2 linked regions of the Arabidopsis thaliana genome follow. The protein of the gene in region 1 interacts with the protein of each later gene in a pairwise test. Each region holds a gene or a part of one and is shown in the gene's direction. Other genes may lie near its edges.

Region 1 (11,320 bases):
TATCTTTCATGTCTAGAGTAACAAGTAAGTCGAAGAGCTGATTACTTTCCTGGTCAACTTGCAGGTTCTCCTATCACACTTACTCCATCAGGAAGTTGTCGTTATGACAGTTCTTTAGGTAATTAACAACTTTTCACATATATATTTAATATTCGATACATGTTATAGTGTATATGAAGATGCTGACATAAAAGCTGTTCAGGTCTCCTTACAAAAAAGTTCGTCAATCTAATTAAACAAGCCAAAGATGGAATGCTGGACCTAAACAAAGCTGCAGAAACATTGGAGGTGCAGAAACGACGTATATATGATATTACAAACGTTTTGGAGGGGATAGATCTCATTGAAAAGCCTTTCAAGAATCGAATACTTTGGAAGTGAGGATTTTTATGATATAGTATGCTTATGTATTTTGTACTGAAAGCATATCCTGCTTCATTGGGATATTACTGAAAGCATTTAACTACATGTAAACTCACTTGATGATCAATAAACTTGATTAGGGGAGTTGATGCGTGTCCTGGCGATGAGGATGCTGACGTATCTGTATTACAGGTGTAGTGAAACAGCATACACTCAAAAGTCATTGTGCATGTAAATCTTAAAATATCATGTAGTTCTCGCTTCCTTTGATTAATGTTCTTGTTTTGTAGCTGCAGGCAGAAATTGAAAACCTCGCCCTCGAAGAGCAAGCATTAGACAACCAAATCAGGTAAGCATTCATTTAAAGAGTTTTGGGTTATTGTGATTAATCTATTTAACCAATGCTGACGCTTTAACAACTTTTATTCAGACAAACAGAGGAAAGATTAAGAGACCTGAGCGAAAATGAAAAGAATCAGAAGTATAAATCTCTGTCTATCTATCTTTTCGTATGGCTAGTTTGTTCTGGCTATGAGATGGTGCTATTTATATGATGGACACTTAACCAATCCGTTCACATTGTCCAGATGGCTTTTTGTAACTGAAGAGGATATCAAGAGTTTACCAGGTTTCCAGGTCTGTCTTTCCTATTTCATATGTTTAATCCTAGGAATTTGATCAATTGATTGTATGTATGTCGATCCCAAGACTTTCTTGTTCACTTATATCTTAACTCTCTCTTTGCTGTTTCTGCAGAACCAGACTCTGATAGCCGTCAAAGCTCCTCATGGCACAACTTTGGAAGTGCCTGATCCAGATGAAGTTAGTCTTTTTCAGCGACCTTGGATGACATCTGCCATTCTTTGTTAGATTCCAAAACGTTATTATAATGTTTCTTCTTTACTTGACAGGCGGCTGACCACCCACAAAGGAGATACAGGATCATTCTTAGAAGTACAATGGGACCTATTGACGTATACCTCGTCAGGTATTTATGCGTTGGCTTCAAATAATAGAAACATTGTTATTGGCATTTTCCGTGACTTCATATACTCTACTGATGATGGTATACATATAATTGAACGTATCAAAACAAAGATTTCTATGATTTGGAACATTCATTGTCCCGTTTACATGCTTTTACTTTGTCTTCATGTTCAGCGAATTTGAAGGGAAATTCGAAGACACAAATGGGAGTGGTGCAGCACCACCAGCATGCTTGCCTATTGCTTCTAGCTCAGGATCTACAGGACACCATGACATCGAAGCCTTAACTGTTGACAACCCAGAAACTGCTATTGTGTCTCATGATCATCCTCATCCTCAACCCGGCGATACCTCTGATCTTAATTATTTGCAAGAGCAAGTAGGAGGAATGCTTAAGATTACTCCCTCTGATGTTGAAGTAAGCCATCTTCCTGCTTATTTTTATAATGAACATAGAAATAGGAAGTTGTGCAGAGAAACTAATTAACCTGACTCAAAATCTACCCTCATAATTGTTGTTTGATATTGGTCTTGTATTTTGCAGAATGATGAGTCGGACTACTGGCTTCTCTCAAATGCTGAGATTAGCATGACGGATATTTGGAAAACTGACTGTATCCTTTGCATATATGCAATTTGTTTCTCTCTTATAGTTAACTATATCTATCTGCATAAGATATAAATACGCAATCCTTAACTCTAGCAAAAGCTGGTATCGATTGGGATTATGGAATAGCCGACGTGAGTACTCCACCACCAGGAATGGGCGAAATAGCACCAACAGCTGTTGACTCAACCCCGAGATGATCGAATACCAAGCACACTTCTCAACTTCTGATCCCAAATGTGTTACCTCACAACACTCCCTAAAATCATATACAAGGAGGGAGCAACTACAGAACGTGTATGAACCAATGGCAGGTGCGTTCCATACAATGTACCATTAGATTATGATTCATTTATCGCCTAGAGTGATGTTGTAGAGGAGCACCGAGAAACTAATGTAAGTTTAACAGAGAATGTACTTCATCGGCTGCATTGGTACACTATTTGATTATAATATTTTTGACCACTCAAATGCATCTTTATAATCAGCTATATGAAGAAATCCAAACTCAAATCAATATCCGGATTAAAGCGGGAAGTTTAAACGAAAACAAACACAAATATTCTCGCTGTATTAATACTTACTGCTTCAATTTACAGAAAACATGAAAAAAAAAAAAAAATCTGTTTTGTTTCAATTCAAAACTTTCATTCACTTTTCTTTCCCTATATATCTTTAAACAAACGAAAAGGGTTTCTTTGTCGAGTCACGTATATGTACGTTTGCGTTACTATGCCGCTGGCTGAGTTCTGGAGTTAGAACGTCGCAGCTTAGCTCGAGCATCAGTGAGGGGTGATCCCGGAATTGTATCAGGAATGTTGACTCCATCATCACCGTTAAATGTTCCGGCGGAGTCTCGGCCTGGTGTTGGTGGTGGTGTTGGTGGCGGCCACTTCCTCCCTCTGCTTGTTTGCTTCTCTAGCGATCGCAACGCAGATAGTGATTTGTTCAGCGGTCTTGGAGCGCGCGGTGATGGAGGATCATTGTCCATCTCCACCGGTGACTGCGCGTTCATGTTCACGTTCCTCTCCGTTGGCTTTAGCACAAACACAAAAATTCAAAAGTGCAAAAGGGAGGTAATAAACACAAGATTGTGTTTGCATTAGTACATAAAACGAAAATCAAAAGCGATAGAAAAGTACCGGTTGGTTAGCTGCAGCGGCAGAGAACCGGACCGATTGGGCGAGTACGTACTGAAAACCCTGGATCAAGGTGGATTGACCGGCCTGTGCATCAACATTATATGTATGTTGTTAATCTTATAATAATTTAGTCAAACCTTTAAAAAGAACAATTTGTATATATAAGTAATAGAAAGATAATTTAAAAAAGGACCTGGGCGAAGTTGTTGAAGTAAAAGATGAAAAAGTCCCAAGCTCGAGCTCGCAACTCCATGATCTTTCTGTCAATCTCTGTCTCGTGTTGAGCCATGTATGGCTTCAACAATGTTTCATACACATGTCTCGTTCCCTTCATTCATTATTTATTTCGTTATTATTATTTGTACATCACCATAAACCACTAATTAATTATGATCCAACTAATCACTTTTTAAAAGGAAAAATTATATTACCTTTGTTTTAGGGTACCAGAGATATACGAAGAAGACTACTTTCATCTCTCCGTATAACGGTAACCTGCAAATAATAATTGCATATATCAATTAATTATTTGATGATTGTTAATATTTTTTAAGACAGAGATGGATTAAGGCATGAATTAACTAATAATAAAACTTACTTACCATGAGATAAAAAAATCGCCAACCCTCTCGAATGATGAAATTAGCGCCAAAAGTATCCTAATTATTCAAATACAAATGTTTAACAAATTAATATTTTCGAGTACATATTGACAATAAACTATCATATTAGAATTACGTGCATCACATATATTGAGATATCTTTAAAATAAACCTAATACAATTGTCCCAGTAATCCCCAGACTAGGTATATAATCAACGTTCGAAACCAAAGACTTGTACAAAAGATGAGGTGTATTCATAAATGGTTTTTCTAGCAGAAGACATCAACTTAACGGAATTTTGATTTTTTTTCTCTTTTAAAATCAAACAAAAACCCATAACAGAGAAAAGTATATCACTATGATCGAACTAAAATCGATTTGCCTATCACTACAAATCTACTACATACACTACACATTATATATGAATGTTTAAAAGTATCGAGGATAGAAAAAAGGGGATCATATATAAATAATTCAATACCAGTATTGGCACCAAAATCTGAGTTCCTCGATATCAACTTTGTTCTTCTCCACCGTTTTAAAGCATTCGAATGCTGGGTATGTGTACCCTAATATCAATCTGCCATTCTCACCATTTCAATTATATATATACATCAATATACATGATTAATTAATCAAAAGAAAAAAAGAGATATGGTTAGGACATACACAAGGAGTCTGATGATGAAATCTCCCAACATCTTCGACCAGTTTAGACTTATCTCCTGTTACAATCATAACAAAACCGATTCAACAATCATATATATATCAGACGAATAGATCCATTTTTAAGCGTTTAACAAATGCAAATGAACCTAATGAAGAAGATCAAAGACGTTAGGAAGATCTCGTCCTCGTAAGAATTATTGAACGTATGAAGAAGAATATGAATGGAATTGGTGTTTTTTTCTTCAAGGAACCCAGAGGGATCAAAACTGCAAATGAGATCAAAACCATGTTTAATGGTTACAGAGTTTTATTATTAGAAGAGAAAAAAATATGTATAAGTTGTTATAAACAAACCTAAATTTATGGAGAGGGTGTCTCTCCGGGTTAAGCAAAGAAAAAATAAACAAAAACTTTGAATATCAAAGACAAAGAAAAAAAGAGGAAGATTATGAAGACGCGTAAGTTCTAAAATTGGAATACATCAGGGTTTAGTTTTTTTAGAAATATATAAACGTCAATAAACAAACAAAAAAATTACAAAAAGTAAACGGTTTCTTGCCACAAAAGCTACTTGAATTTGGGGGTAAGAGGAACGGGTTTACCGTTTGACCGTTTGACCGTTGTCTCATTATCCTCGTTATTTAACATTGTTCGACGCTTCATATGAATTTACAAAAAAAGTCCTTGAAGAATCAAATTAATTAAGTTTGACTGATTTTACACTAATAAATATATATTCTTCTGCTGTCCTTCAAAAAAAATACTAAATACGAAATTCTATAAACTACTAGAATATCTTTTGAAATCCATTAAAATCTCATCTAAACATCCTTTATTCAATGGATAATTTGAAGCAAACCTAGTCTTTTTTTTTTCCAAACAAACATAAACTCAAAATAATTCCGTTCCTTATTAATCCAAATTCTAAGTTTTTCACACATGAAAAAAATTGATCCTAAATGTATTATTTTTTGTGATTAACAATTTCCACACTTAAAATTTGTATAGAAAAATTAAAATTTGTATCTTTTTGCAACAAACTTTTTTTTGTAGAATTTGGAGTAATAAGGAATTGAGGAAGAAGTACTTAATAGTGCAGTGATCATAAGTGAGTTGTTACTTATGTTACTTATATTTTACACTAGGTAATCTCAAATCGAAAATCAGATTGATGGACAATATTATTACAACATTCTATGTCTACCAGGTTCCCATAAAAAAACTTCCACCTTTCATCGGCCTCTAAATATTAATCTATCAATAATTAAACATACTGTACGTTTTCTGTAAAGTTTTGTATTGTTTAACAGTAATGTTTATTTTTCTATTATATGTTGTAAAACAAAGTTTATACACCTTTCTAATGTACTTAGAGGAATAATAGTAATACTGGAAACAAAGAGTGGTCTGGATTTGTGTTGGAGGAGCTACGGCCTTTGGGTTTATATCCCTTGAGTGACAATTTATTTGAGTGTTGTAAAGGCGCTGTACAAAGCTCATGAAGGCCCAACACAAATCCATGTAAAACAAACTCTTATTGAGTACTTCTACAACTTCTCTTGTAATATTTGTTAACACCATGTGTAAATCCTAAAAAAATAATATATTCGAATTAAAATTTAAAACGTAGTTTAAAATAATTGTGTATGAAATGAATTAACGACCGTATAGTATAACTATTGAATGCAAATGACATACTAAAGATCATCTGACTTTTTGAAGAAAAAAAAGGTTAGATTTGACAAAAAGAAAAATATAGATCGTCCAACTAGAACCTAAATCGTAATGGGAAGGCTTAATTATATATGAAATACCATTATAGTTCATTATAGTCAACTTAAATAATAATCCTATATTCACATCTCATAATTTTCATAGATCAGTGGAGTAAGTATATGTCACATTAATGCTCATGAATGTAGACATTTACTAACATATTTTTAAAAGCTCACAAAAATTTAAAAGAAATTATAAACTGTCATTGAACATCAAATTAAATATTGTTGCTAAGAGTTTACTTCTCATTAATCCACCTCAGTCACCACATGCACCCTTTAATACCAATCCAAGTAGACTCACTCTCCCTCACACACTCTCTCTCTAAAATCTATTTCATCTTGGAGTAAGAGACAGAGAGACAAAGAAAGAGCAAAGCAATGACGACAGGCAAAAGCAAGAAGAAGAAGATGGTCCTTAAGGCAGTCTCTGTCGTAGACATCGGCTGTGGCAACTGTAAGTTCCCAAGCTTGTCTTCTTTTTTCAACCCTTCCCCCAAAAAGCCCCGCCTCTACTCCTCTAATTACGGCCACTGCCACTCCTCCACCCCCACCACGGCCTCCTCTTCCTCCGCCGTTCCCTCCACCTCCCACTGGTTCTCTGACACCTCTTCCTCCTCGGCAACACCCTCCGCCGCCGCTGTCGCCGTCGAGAAAGACTCAGACGATCCTTACCTAGATTTCCGACAGTCCATGCTTCAGATGATTCTCGAGAACGAGATTTACTCCAAAAACGATCTCAGAGAGCTTCTCCACTGCTTCCTCTCCCTTAACGAGCCATACCACCACGGCATCATCATCCGCGCTTTCTCCGAAATCTGGGACGGAGTTTTCTCCGCTGCCAAACGCCGTGGAGACGTCCAAGAGTCTCCACTCGTCCACCGTCATGGCTCACGTGCGTCACACCGTAACCACTACCACCGCTCGAAGTAACCTTTTTTAACTACGAATTATGCCACGTCACCAATAATGTATTGACACGTTAACTATCCATTTTACTACTACTGACGTGTCAATATATTATTGGGTTTGTGCTTTTTAACTTCTTATCTTAGCTTTGGGATTTTCTTCTTTGTCTTTTAACCAAGTGTAACGACAATGGTAGAATAATTATAATATGGTTGCTACTTGTTTCAATGTTGATTTTTGTAGTAATATTCGGCCAAAATCGATAAGAATAGAAGTTTTAAAGATCTTGTGACACTCGTGACTCTCATTAGGATGATGACGTGAAGGTTCCGGAAACAAGTCCACGTGAAATCTTTTTATTTATTTATTATCATGAATTCATGATCACAGTGCGGATTTTAAGATATTTAACAAATATACATTCACATATTATGCATTTTAGCAAGTAATATGTGTTTTAAGAAAAAGAAAAAAAAGAAGCAAGTAATATGTGGTCATAGACATATAAAATGTACGAAAAGGGCATTTAAATCATATTATTTACCCCGTCGACGAAAATATTTTCATAGCCGAAAACTTTATAGAACGTTAGGTATATAATATTTTCATATATATATATATATATATTTATATATGAACTGTACAGGTCTTTGATAATAATATTTGTGGACACTGGACAGTATTTATAGACTATATTGCATACATATTTTTCCAATAGATAACTTCTTTTCGTTTGGCCGTTGTGCATTAATTTTTGGGGTACAAAAACTTTTGCAATGACGAATTAGAAAGCGATATGTAACAAATGTTTTGGTAGTTTATGGGGACCAACCATTAGAAGAATGCTTATTTTGGACTTGAATATATGTCTTGAAGTATGTACAGATCTTCAAATATGTGACTTTAAGTTTGTGTCTTTAACCTCATGTGCTAGCTAAAGATGTATTAGCAATATAATAGCATGTTGAGGACTAGCCTAATTCAGCTTGTTACTAGGTTCACACCGAGACTTTCGCCACGTGCTAGTATCTTGAGTACCAATCTCGGGATGTATATCAGTCTGGTAATATAATCCTTTATTGCCAATTTCGGACTCTATGCTGTATACTTTGGAAGTGTGCTAGTATATTAGTAAGGAACATTAAGTATGTCGGTGTGTTTAGTGTGGCAAATCCAAAATAGCAATCTACCATGGGGCATACCAATAGAATATTACATTCATTCATTGAGAATTATAACCACATAAAGAGAAACTCTAGCAATATGCCACAAGATTTATTATTCGAATTCATAATAATATGTGTAATTAATTCGTGGTTAATATGTGTAATTAATCAATAATTATGCACGGTCAGATTAGGAAATATATATGATCAATGGTACGGTATGATCATGATCGTGTTATGGAAGAATGGATCATCGTGTGTAAAGATGATTCAGTACGGCAAGTGTTAATCATTAGTTATGATTGTGGAAAGACGCCAGATAAGACAAGACTTGATTCGCACATGTCACTATGTCAGATATCAAATGAAAAATGGATGTCTTATGGATGTGTGGATCATGTGTATACCACAGTACTATTTTGATTGCAAGTGTTTAGACACCTAAAAGCATGTTGATAGATATGGCAACCATTTCATGTATTATCTCCAAATCTGCGAGCCACTTAGACATGTGTGTTTTTTAATGGTAAATAGTTTATTATTATGGCGTTTTATTAGTTTGTTATTTATATTAATATCACAATCCATCTTCAAATCAATCATTATACATGCTAGTTGTAAGTGACAAAACTAATTCAGTGAGACAAACTAATTCAAACAAAGGACTACAATTATAGTGCGACAAAAAAATACACTACTTGAACTAGTAATATTTTTTTCCCCACAATGATTCTTTACTACCCATAATGAATATACAACAGTCATAGAAAAGTAGCGAACCTGTGGATTTGGGCGGTAAAAGACATGAGGGAGCATCGGGATTTGATACTCGTAATTATTAGAAAGAGGGTGTAATATTAATTACATAAATAAATAGCGACGCAGACACTTAAATGTACAATTTTATTACAGCATTACTTCTTCCTATGTTGTGTAATTGATGATGATACTTTGGACGAACCCTTCTTACAGTTTCCGATACGATACGATCCATCCTTTAAAATAGTTGTAATTATTGTTGCCAAAGAAATGAAAATTGTAATTATTAGTTTTTGTCTAGTGGCCCACTCAGTTCTACAGACATTTCAAGAAATTACATTTTTCTTATAAAAGTTTTGTCGTACAAGATTTAACATTGGTCCCCAAACAATGTAATTCTTTACTGACCCTGTAATTTCTAGTTCATCATTGAATTGGTTAGAAACTATTCTTATTTTTGTCTTTTTAACTCGTAAATGCTATCAGCCTATCAGGTACAAGAAATTAAAGCGAAGAACTTTACCTAGTGAAAACATTTAACAAGGTGAAAAACTCAGCCAGAAATAGGTAAAATATTTAAATCAAACCAGCCATCGAAAGAGTGAAGTTTGTGGTCACAAATCAATAAGTATTGTATAGCTTACTAAATCAATTTTTATTAAAATTACATATTTATTTAAAATAAAACATACATTCTGTCTGTTTATATATAAAATTAATTCAATTTTTTTAAAAAATATTTAAATTGTAAGAAAACCTCAAAAATCAATTGTGTACAAACTTTACATTTTTTTTTGACATAAATTCAATAACAATAATTCAATAACATAAAATAATATACAAGTATTACAATTCAATAACATAAAATAAATAATAAATAGCATGGAGATGTAATTTTGCTATGACCATCATGTCGCTATCGCCATCTTCATTCTTCGTCTGATTCAGATCTCGAACTTTCGGACAATGCAAAACCTAATTTATCCCCATCAATACTCCTCACCTTGAATGTCTTCTTCTCTTCATAAGTCTTGCTTACCTGCTCCTCCACTTTCTGGAACTCTTCCTCCACGTTAAATCCGTCCTTCATGTTGGAATCTGATGCATCCATGATCTTGGAAGAGTTTTGCTGCTAAAAAATTAGAGAGATCAGTTGCTAAGAATCGACAAGAGAAAAGACAAAAGAGAAGACAAGAGAGAAGACAAGAGAGAACTCGTGTATGTATAGTATATATTTTAATAACAACAACAAAACAATATATTTTAATTCAGTATAACATATTTGTTTGTCTTTGTTCACAATACATAAGTATTTTTTTTAATCGTTAATAAATAAAAAAGTTAAGCCAAAACTATTAATTTCTCTAGAAGAGACACTTGTTTTATAAAATAATAATAATAATAAAATACTATAATTCATTTCATCTCATTCATTGTACATATATGCATCAAAATTATAATTTTCTTTTACTTTATTATAAATTATTTATTTTTGTCATTATTGAAACTCTTTTAAAATATATAAACTTCGTAAATAGAATAATAAACAAATGGGGTATTATGGTTAAAAATATTGTTTGGAAATTTAGTGTACAGAGTTTCGTTTTTTTTTATGATCGTTTAATGATAATTTTTGTTTTTTCATCTACTGTATTTGTTTTCTGTAGGTAAAACGAGACTGAAACATGCTATTGAGTAGTTTTTTATTTGCATGCAAACTACAAGATGTATTTATTTTCATTCCGCTTCAACAAAATAATTTGCTTAAATTTGTTTTCAGTCTACTTAACGTACAAAACTTATCAAACTTTTTTTTTTGTTAACGTACAAAATTAACAAAGTTGCTGTTTTATTTTTTCAAAAGCCACGCTTGGACCATCGGATGGGTGGTACCAATTGGTACTTGGTACCACTACAAAATCCAAAAAACTTACATCAAAATAGAAACTCTTCTTTTTTTTATGTGTGTAATCACTGATCGACACTATTTAGTATTTACACCGGTGTTCGTGTGTTGGCTAAACAAATTGTGTGATTAGAATTGAACCAACCTATATATTCTTTAAAATCAGAGTTAGAGCGATATGACCGGGTGGTTCGGTTCTCTTTTAGAAACAATGGTTTTTCATCACAAAATCCCATAACTAAAATACATAACTTCAAGTTCATCCAACAAGACTCGTATATAATATTTATGACTACAAATACACGCATTCAAATAAATGTTGAAAGAATAATCAATGGGTGCTATAAATATATGACCCAACTACCAAAAGTAAATATGGTAATCAATATTGAAGTAAATTTCAGATTAGACTAACCAGCAACTATAGCTAGCT
Region 2 (7,654 bases), on another chromosome or scaffold:
ATTGTTGGTCTGGCAATAATAATGGCATTTACACGGTTAAATCAGGGTATGATCTGATTAGTCGACAAGCTCATCAAAAGATTTATCAAGAGGCTGCAGTGAACCCTTCAGTAAACCCTCTTTTTTGCAGTATTTGGAGTCTTCATACGGCGCCTAAAATTAAGGTCTTCTTATGGAAAGTCTTAAAAGGAGCTGTAGCAGTGGAAGACAGACTAAGAACTCGTGGTATCAAGGCAATGGATGGATGCTTAATGTGTAATGAGGAGAATGAAACAATTAACCACATTTTATTCCAATGTCCATTGGCAAGACAAGTCTGGGCGCTGTCCCTTATGCAATCCCCTGAAAAAGGTTTTGGATCTTCAATCTTTACTAATATGGACCATGTTTTGAACTATTGTCAGAAACTGAGTAGTTCTAGTAATGTGAGTTATGTTAGTCCTTGGATAATCTGGGTCTTATGGAAACATAGGAATAAAATTCTGTTTGAGGGAGTTACTTCTGTGACTCAAAGCATTGTAGACAAAGCTTATGTGGATTGTAATCAATGGTGTTCAGCCCAACAAGATGTCTGTATCAAGGAATCAAAGTCAAAGTTGAATTGGAGTCCTCCTCCTCAGAATGAGATTAAATGCAATATTGGTGTGGCCTGGTCTAATCGTTTACAAGCTTCTGGTGCATCTTGGGTTGTGAGAGATGCTCTGGGAAAGGTGTTACTTCATAGTAGGAGATCTTATTCTCATGTTCATTCTATGTTGGATGCAAAGATTAGAAGTTGGGAATGGGCTCTTACAAGCATGGCACAACATCATTTTGACAGAGTCACTTTCAGAGCCTCAACACATGACATTATTAAAGCTCTCTACAAACCAGAAGAATGGCCATCATTATTAGGCCATACAAGTCAACTCTTGAAGTTATCACAAAAGAAAAGTGGTTGGTTCATGGCTTTGGAACCAAAACACTGTAATAAAGGAGCTTTTGAGATTGCTAAGAGTGTTATTACTGGGCACAGATGGCAATCTTATGTCTCTCGGGGTTTTCCCCATTGGCTAGGAAATCTCTTTGCTTCCGAAATGACTCAGCTAGGGAGATTGTGACAGTGTTCATTGGAGGCTTGATTTGGTTACAGGTGGTTTAACTCAGATTATCAAATCAGTCGGAGGTGTCATCTTTGGGAATTAGATGCTCAGATTAATTGCTGAGTTGTTAATCAAATAGAATGTTAGGTGTGGAGGTGGATTAGTTTTTGTCCTTTTCTAATGATTGTTTTCTTCAGTCAAAGGTTTAGTAAGTTTAGGATTTCCACTTAGGTTCTTCGAGTCTAGTTTTTTAATAATTTCTTTTTTCCTAATTTTTTCATTAAGGTTAGAGTCTATATATTATAAGTGTTTACTCCTTTACGTCATTAGGTCTCAGTCTTTCTTGTTCCTTTTCTCTTTTCAATCTTACCTCCATGGCAGATGAATTGTGGGATGAAATTCAAGGCCTGGATCTAGGTCCTGAGGATCCAGCCCTCTTCATTCCCCATGAAGCTTATGTGTATGTTGAAGAGTTCAATCGACTGAGTATAATTGCAAGACCTCTCAACCCAAGAGTCCAAAACTTGAACGCGGTGATTGCAGCCTTACCTCGGTACTGGGGAATGACGGTGCATGTCCATGGAAGAATTCTGGATGCAACTTATGTTCAATTTCTCTTCCAAAATGAAGTTGACTTGCAGTCAGTACAAAGAAGAGAACCATGGATTTTCAACAACTGGTTCGTGGCTACTCAAAGATGGGAACCTGCTCCTGCTCTTAACTTTGTTACTTCTATTGATCTTTGGGTGCAGATTAGAGGAATTCCCCTGCCCTATGTGTGTGAAGAGACGGCTCTAGAGATAGCACGTGACTTAGGAGAAGTCATCATGCTGGATCATCATGACGCAACATCTACTCAAATTACTTATATCCGAGTTAGAGTGCGTTTTGGCATCACAGACAGGCTCAGATTCTTCCAACGAATCATCTTTGATTCGGGAGAAGTGGTTACCATCAGATTTCAATATGAGCGCCTCAGAAGAATCTGTAGCAGTTGCTTCAGGTTTACGCACAACAGAGCTTATTGTCCCTATAGACCACGTCCCCACAGCATAGCCAGAGAAAGAGCTGTCTTCAGAGACAGTGTTCATAGGTCAAGCTTGAACTCTCAATCGCAGATGACGGAGACTTCATTTCCTGCTCCTGTGACACCGCCTCCTAGAATTGCTCATCCACCACTGAATCCTGAAGAATTGAGAGCTGCGTATCCATACTATGCATCAGTTAGAGATACTCATACATTACATGTTGGAGAATCTAGTACTGCAAGACAACAATGGTCATCGAGTTCTAGTACCACTCCAACAAGAGCAGACACTCCTAATCATGATAACAACAGAGTCTTTGAAGTCGGTCAATCCTCAAGAAGACAGGAAGTAAGAAGAGAAGCAGAGGATCCTAGACTTCAAACTCGTCTACACAGTGCTTCAAGAATGGGAGAGAGTCTGAAACCTCCCAAAAAGAGATAACCACTCTAACAAGACTTCTGTCAATTTTTGTTGAAGACTACAGGGAATCTAGGATAGCAGCTTCAAGTAGTTGGATATGTTTTTTTGGTTCTGACATATCCTTAACTTTGTTAAGTTTCAGGTTTATTATTTCATGTTTCTCGTTTTACTTCTAAGATCATCTTGTTATGTTTGAATCAAAGGTTTGTAAGTGGTTAGACCACTCAAACACTTTTTGTAAGAACACAATGACATGAATGAATGAAAGATAACTTTTAGGGAAAAAAAAAAAAAAAAACGAAAGAAATAGACAGTGAATTTGATGGGCCTTTGGGCTTTAGCGTAATTGTGAATGAGCTCATTTATTCATTGTCGTAATTTATGGTTTGTTCTCTCATGTGCCAATGAAGTCCGTATGTGTGCTAGCAAGCAAACGATGGTATTGGCCTAACTTTTCGTAGAGATTCTATAAAATTATGTGAAATGCAAAGACCAAATAAGTTTGGGTATAGAATCTCCAGCTACTTTTTAAAATACAAAATAATGATACCAGAGTACAGAAATTTAATAGACAGTAGAAATTGCACTTTAATTTCGGGTAGAAGATATCATTAAACTATAGGAAAAATTGATTAACCAAAAAAAGGTCAACAATGCTACAATACGATTCACTTCAAAATATTTGTAATACACTACCAAAGCTAGATTTGATTCATACTCACAGATCTTCCAACGTCTATAACTAAAGAACATAAACACATATATGACATGCCCTACTGCTTTTTACCTCATCCCTTGTCTCTTTTCTTCCCTACTGTCTCTTTCATTTCTTCTCTCCCTTTGGTTTAAGCCTTTTGGTAATGATAATCAGGCTGCGATACTTTGTTACAGCATGAGCAGAGATGCTTGACTTGAGAGATGCTTGACTTGAGTTGCTTCCCTTTGTTAACCCGAAGATCCTCTACATGGTTAACAAAAGCATAAACTCTACCACAATTCTCAACCGCTTCAAGGTTAGCTCCAAAATCTTGGATTTCAACGCTCTGGAGAGTGTTCCTCTCGGGATTGAAGTAGAACACATAAAACGGTTTACATGTATATTTCATACACAAAACAATATCACCTCTAGTAGTCACTCCAGCAACTGAAAAGTCGCAGGAATCAAGGACTTCATTCTCCGGCAGAGTGTACACATATTTAACCCATTCATGCTTCTCGGCATCCTCTAGAACCCACATACGCAACTCAACGGTGCGCCTTTCACCAGCTTGACCATACTTCCAATTAATCCCACTTAATTTACCCTCATAGTTTACCAAAATCAACCCACTAGTATCATCAAGTTGATCATTAAAGCATCCTGCGTCAAAATACTTAAATTCCTCAGACCTTACATCAAAGCAAATGATCACACAAGACGGTACACCAAGAGTCTGAGCTAAGTAATACAAAACTCCATTGATACATATTCCTTCACTCAAAGAACGATCATATGCAGGACAACTAATGATATTACTCCTCCAGCTCAGTTCCTCAGTTCCTAATGTCAGAATCTCATGATGTTCCCTTTGATCAGAAAATGGATAAGCCTCAGACAATACCTTGAATTGCTTACCAATGGGATCAAACCCTAGAAAGCCTCGAGCATTTTTGTACCTCATCAGATCAGGTAAGCTCTCATACATTCCTGTGGTAGGGTTACAAATCACAGGCGATGCATCTTTTGAGAGCCACAAATCAGGGAAACAGAGCAAACCTGAGACATAGCTACAAATGAATCGGCTTACGTCTCCTGAGAATTTTGTATGATAATCCAAATGAGAAGACTTCTCATATCGATTCTGTGGCTGCGGCGACGAGAAGAAGAGCCACTCACCATTTCGTTCGGCAGCAAACAGCAGACGTGGACGATTCGAGGATCTGGTCAGGAAGAGCTCGGTGAAAACTGGACTGCGAAGCATAGACGCCCAGTGCTTCGACAAGGTACGAAATCCAATGACTGACTTCGCCGGCAATCTCGAGAAGATCTCGAGAATGAGATCATTTGGGATTGGTTCCATGAAGAAGCGTTTATTGCCGCCGGAGTGTGTGATTGTTTCGTCGGAGAAGGAGAAGGTTTAATACGACGCAACAAGATTGGGATTGTATGGGCCTTTGGGCTTTAGCATAGTTGTGAATGAGCTAAGCCCATTTATTCATTGCGATAATTGGGACTTTTGGTTTGTTCTCTCACGTGCCAATCGGTATGTTAGATATGTGGTAGCGAATGAAGGATTAGTTTTCACAGGGATTCTAAATATCATGTAAAATGTAAAGACCAAATATGTTTTGGTAACTGGTTATGGAATCTCTAGCTACTATTAGCAACAAAAAAAAAAGACAGTAGAGGTAGAGCTTGCTTTTTGATTTAGGATGAAGAACAATTGTTTAATGGCTAAAGCAAAAGCTTAGTATCTGGTGACAAATGTGTCAATACAGAGATAAATTTATTAGGCTTAGCACTCCTTTTTTTGGATTAAACAATCAATAAAAACGAAATAGAAATATAATCAGTTTGTGTTTTTGCTTTAGTGAAACAGAAGAAAATGGGTTCAGTTATTACTTTTTCTTTATTTTTTGGGATTTGTGTAGAATTATGTACAAGTCATATACTATTAAAATAAATGGGATTAGGGAACAATGTGGTGAGTTAAATGTGATGGTAAGAGAGGAAGGAAGAAGCATGGGATAATGGTGAAGGGAGCGGCGCTTAAATCTGAAAATCTCGAGAATGAAGAAAACACGTCACTTCACTCTCACGATCGAACATGTGATTCTTGTGTGCTGCGACGACTCGTGACTCTTGCCTCTCTTTTTCTCATGCATGGCTCTCCGATTCTCCGACGAAAGAAGGAAACAACAAAAAGATAAAGATGAGATATCGTAAAAGCTTTAAAGCTTTAAAGTGTCCTCAAGAAAAATAATTCTAGGAACCCAAAAAACCTTGTCTCGCTAGATATCTTGGTAACATGTACAAGTAAAATATTAGAGCTAGTCATAACAAAGAAAAACAAAAAAAAAAACATTTGAGTTCCTGATGATTAACAGAAATTTTTGAACATAATAATCCAAAAAAAAAAAAAATGTGTGTGTGCAATTGTTCTAACTTCTTAAGCTATCATCAAAAAGGTGTAATAACTAATAAGGTTGGCATTGCGACTGTTTGGAATGCAGGGGACACCAAGAACTAGGGATTATATTATTCTAGTTTGAGCCTAGGTAGAAGAATTATATAAATATGAAGTTGAGATCAAAAATGGTTAAAAGTTTTTTTTTTTTTTTTTCTTTTGAAAATAACAGAATATGAGAAAAGCAACGGTCACATGCGCGGGTGAAAAAAGCAATTCTCTAGGAATTGAAGCGAACCGTGACATTATTTAAGCACTCACATACTCTTTCTAAGCTCCATTATCATATCCTCTTCTTCCTTCTTCACTATCAATCTTCTTCTCCACTACAACACAAATGGAGAAATCATCCTCAATGAAACAATGGAAGAAGGGTCCTGCTCGGGGTAAAGGCGGTCCACAAAACGCTCTTTGTCAGTACCGTGGAGTCAGGCAAAGGACTTGGGGCAAATGGGTGGCTGAGATCAGAGAGCCCAAGAAGAGGGCAAGACTTTGGCTTGGCTCTTTCGCTACAGCTGAAGAAGCAGCTATGGCTTATGATGAGGCTGCCTTGAAACTCTATGGGCACGACGCATACCTCAACTTACCTCATCTTCAGCGGAATACAAGACCTTCTCTGAGTAACTCTCAGAGGTTCAAATGGGTACCTTCAAGGAAGTTTATATCTATGTTTCCTTCATGTGGTATGCTAAACGTGAATGCTCAGCCTAGTGTTCACATAATCCAGCAAAGACTAGAAGAACTCAAGAAAACTGGACTTTTATCTCAATCCTATTCTTCTAGTTCTTCCTCCACCGAATCAAAAACTAATACTAGCTTTCTTGATGAGAAGACCAGCAAGGGAGAAACAGACAATATGTTCGAAGGTGGTGATCAGAAGAAACCAGAGATCGACCTGACCGAGTTTCTTCAGCAACTAGGAATCTTGAAGGATGAAAATGAAGCAGAACCAAGTGAGGTAGCAGAGTGTCATTCCCCTCCACCATGGAACGAGCAAGAAGAAACTGGAAGTCCTTTCAGAACTGAGAATTTCAGCTGGGATACCCTGATCGAGATGCCAAGAAGTGAAACCACAACTATGCAATTTGACTCCAGCAACTTCGGAAGCTATGATTTTGAGGATGATGTATCCTTCCCTTCCATCTGGGACTACTACGGAAGCTTAGATTGAGTAAAAGCAATTTAAGGTAGATCAAGATTCAGAAGTACACAAATGGTTTTGGATTTAGTGTAGCGTTTTGGAAAAGAGACATAGGTAGTGAGAGTGCAGTCTTTTATTATGCAGCAATAAAGTGAGTCAGTGTACAACCGAGTTGTTCGCTTTTTTTGGTATATTAATGAAGCATGTTCATTTTTTCGCTATCCTTTAGCTCGATAGTTTAAATAGTAAGTGAAAGTCACGGCCCTAATAGAATGATATGTTTTGTGCAAGTAACAATGCAAAAAAGCTTACCTATCATATCCCCTTTCATGGAGATCACATCTAATATCTCAATAATACTAGAAACTCATGATCAATAAATAAAGATCATGATGGTATGAACAAATTTTTAAGATTCGCCTTCGAACTGACCAACGCAAACTTTCTGTCGAGAAAAGAAAACAACAAAACTGAATAACCTAGAGACATATCACACGATGCATAAACTCCCACCAGAAAGTTTCACCTGCCAGCACTGATCAAAATCTGAAGAAATTTGCTAAGTATAGATAACATCCACAGATATTCAACAAGCATAAACAGCAGCTACAATGAACCTTCACGACTTTCTCAGGTTTAAGACATAAAAGGATCTCTTATCAATGGAACGAATAGAGTAAGATCAAACACGAAAGCTTAAACATTATGAATATAGCAACCTCACTGCTTAAGCACAGAATTCCTCTTCATTCCAATATTAGAAACAATGCAACAGATACACTAGTCATTCCAAAGAGAGTAATAATTCTCAGTAAC

Evidence for each region. The genes of interacting proteins can lie anywhere in the genome.
Region 2: the proteins of AT2G36026 (region 1) and AT3G57600 interact in a two-hybrid assay, tested with the Arabidopsis thaliana proteins (one large-scale study listed by BioGRID).

Annotation. Positions count from the first base shown.
Region 1 is NC_003071.7:15,120,737-15,132,056, forward strand, and holds AT2G36026 (Ovate family protein), read left to right. Parts: upstream 1-6,528; coding exon 6,529-7,080; downstream 7,081-11,320. Other genes in the region: E2F3 (E2F transcription factor 3), read left to right, coding at 1-24, 203-377, 504-555, 654-712, 951-999, 1,120-1,185, 1,275-1,351, 1,525-1,768 and 2 more; HVA22J (HVA22-like protein J), read right to left, coding at 2,688-2,993, 3,100-3,183, 3,293-3,427, 3,531-3,594, 3,702-3,758, 4,185-4,283, 4,373-4,404; AT2G36030 (uncharacterized protein), read right to left, coding at 6,823-7,035.
Region 2 is NC_003074.8:21,326,807-21,334,460, forward strand, and holds AT3G57600 (Integrase-type DNA-binding superfamily protein), read left to right. Parts: upstream 1-5,967; 5' UTR 5,968-6,034; coding exon 6,035-6,868; 3' UTR 6,869-7,112; downstream 7,113-7,654. Other genes in the region: AT3G57587 (Ta11-like non-LTR retrotransposon), read left to right, coding at 1,457-2,551; AT3G57590 (F-box and associated interaction domains-containing protein), read right to left, coding at 3,376-4,590. UniProt on the Arabidopsis thaliana protein: Transcriptional activator that binds specifically to the DNA sequence 5'-[AG]CCGAC-3'. Binding to the C-repeat/DRE element mediates high salinity-inducible transcription.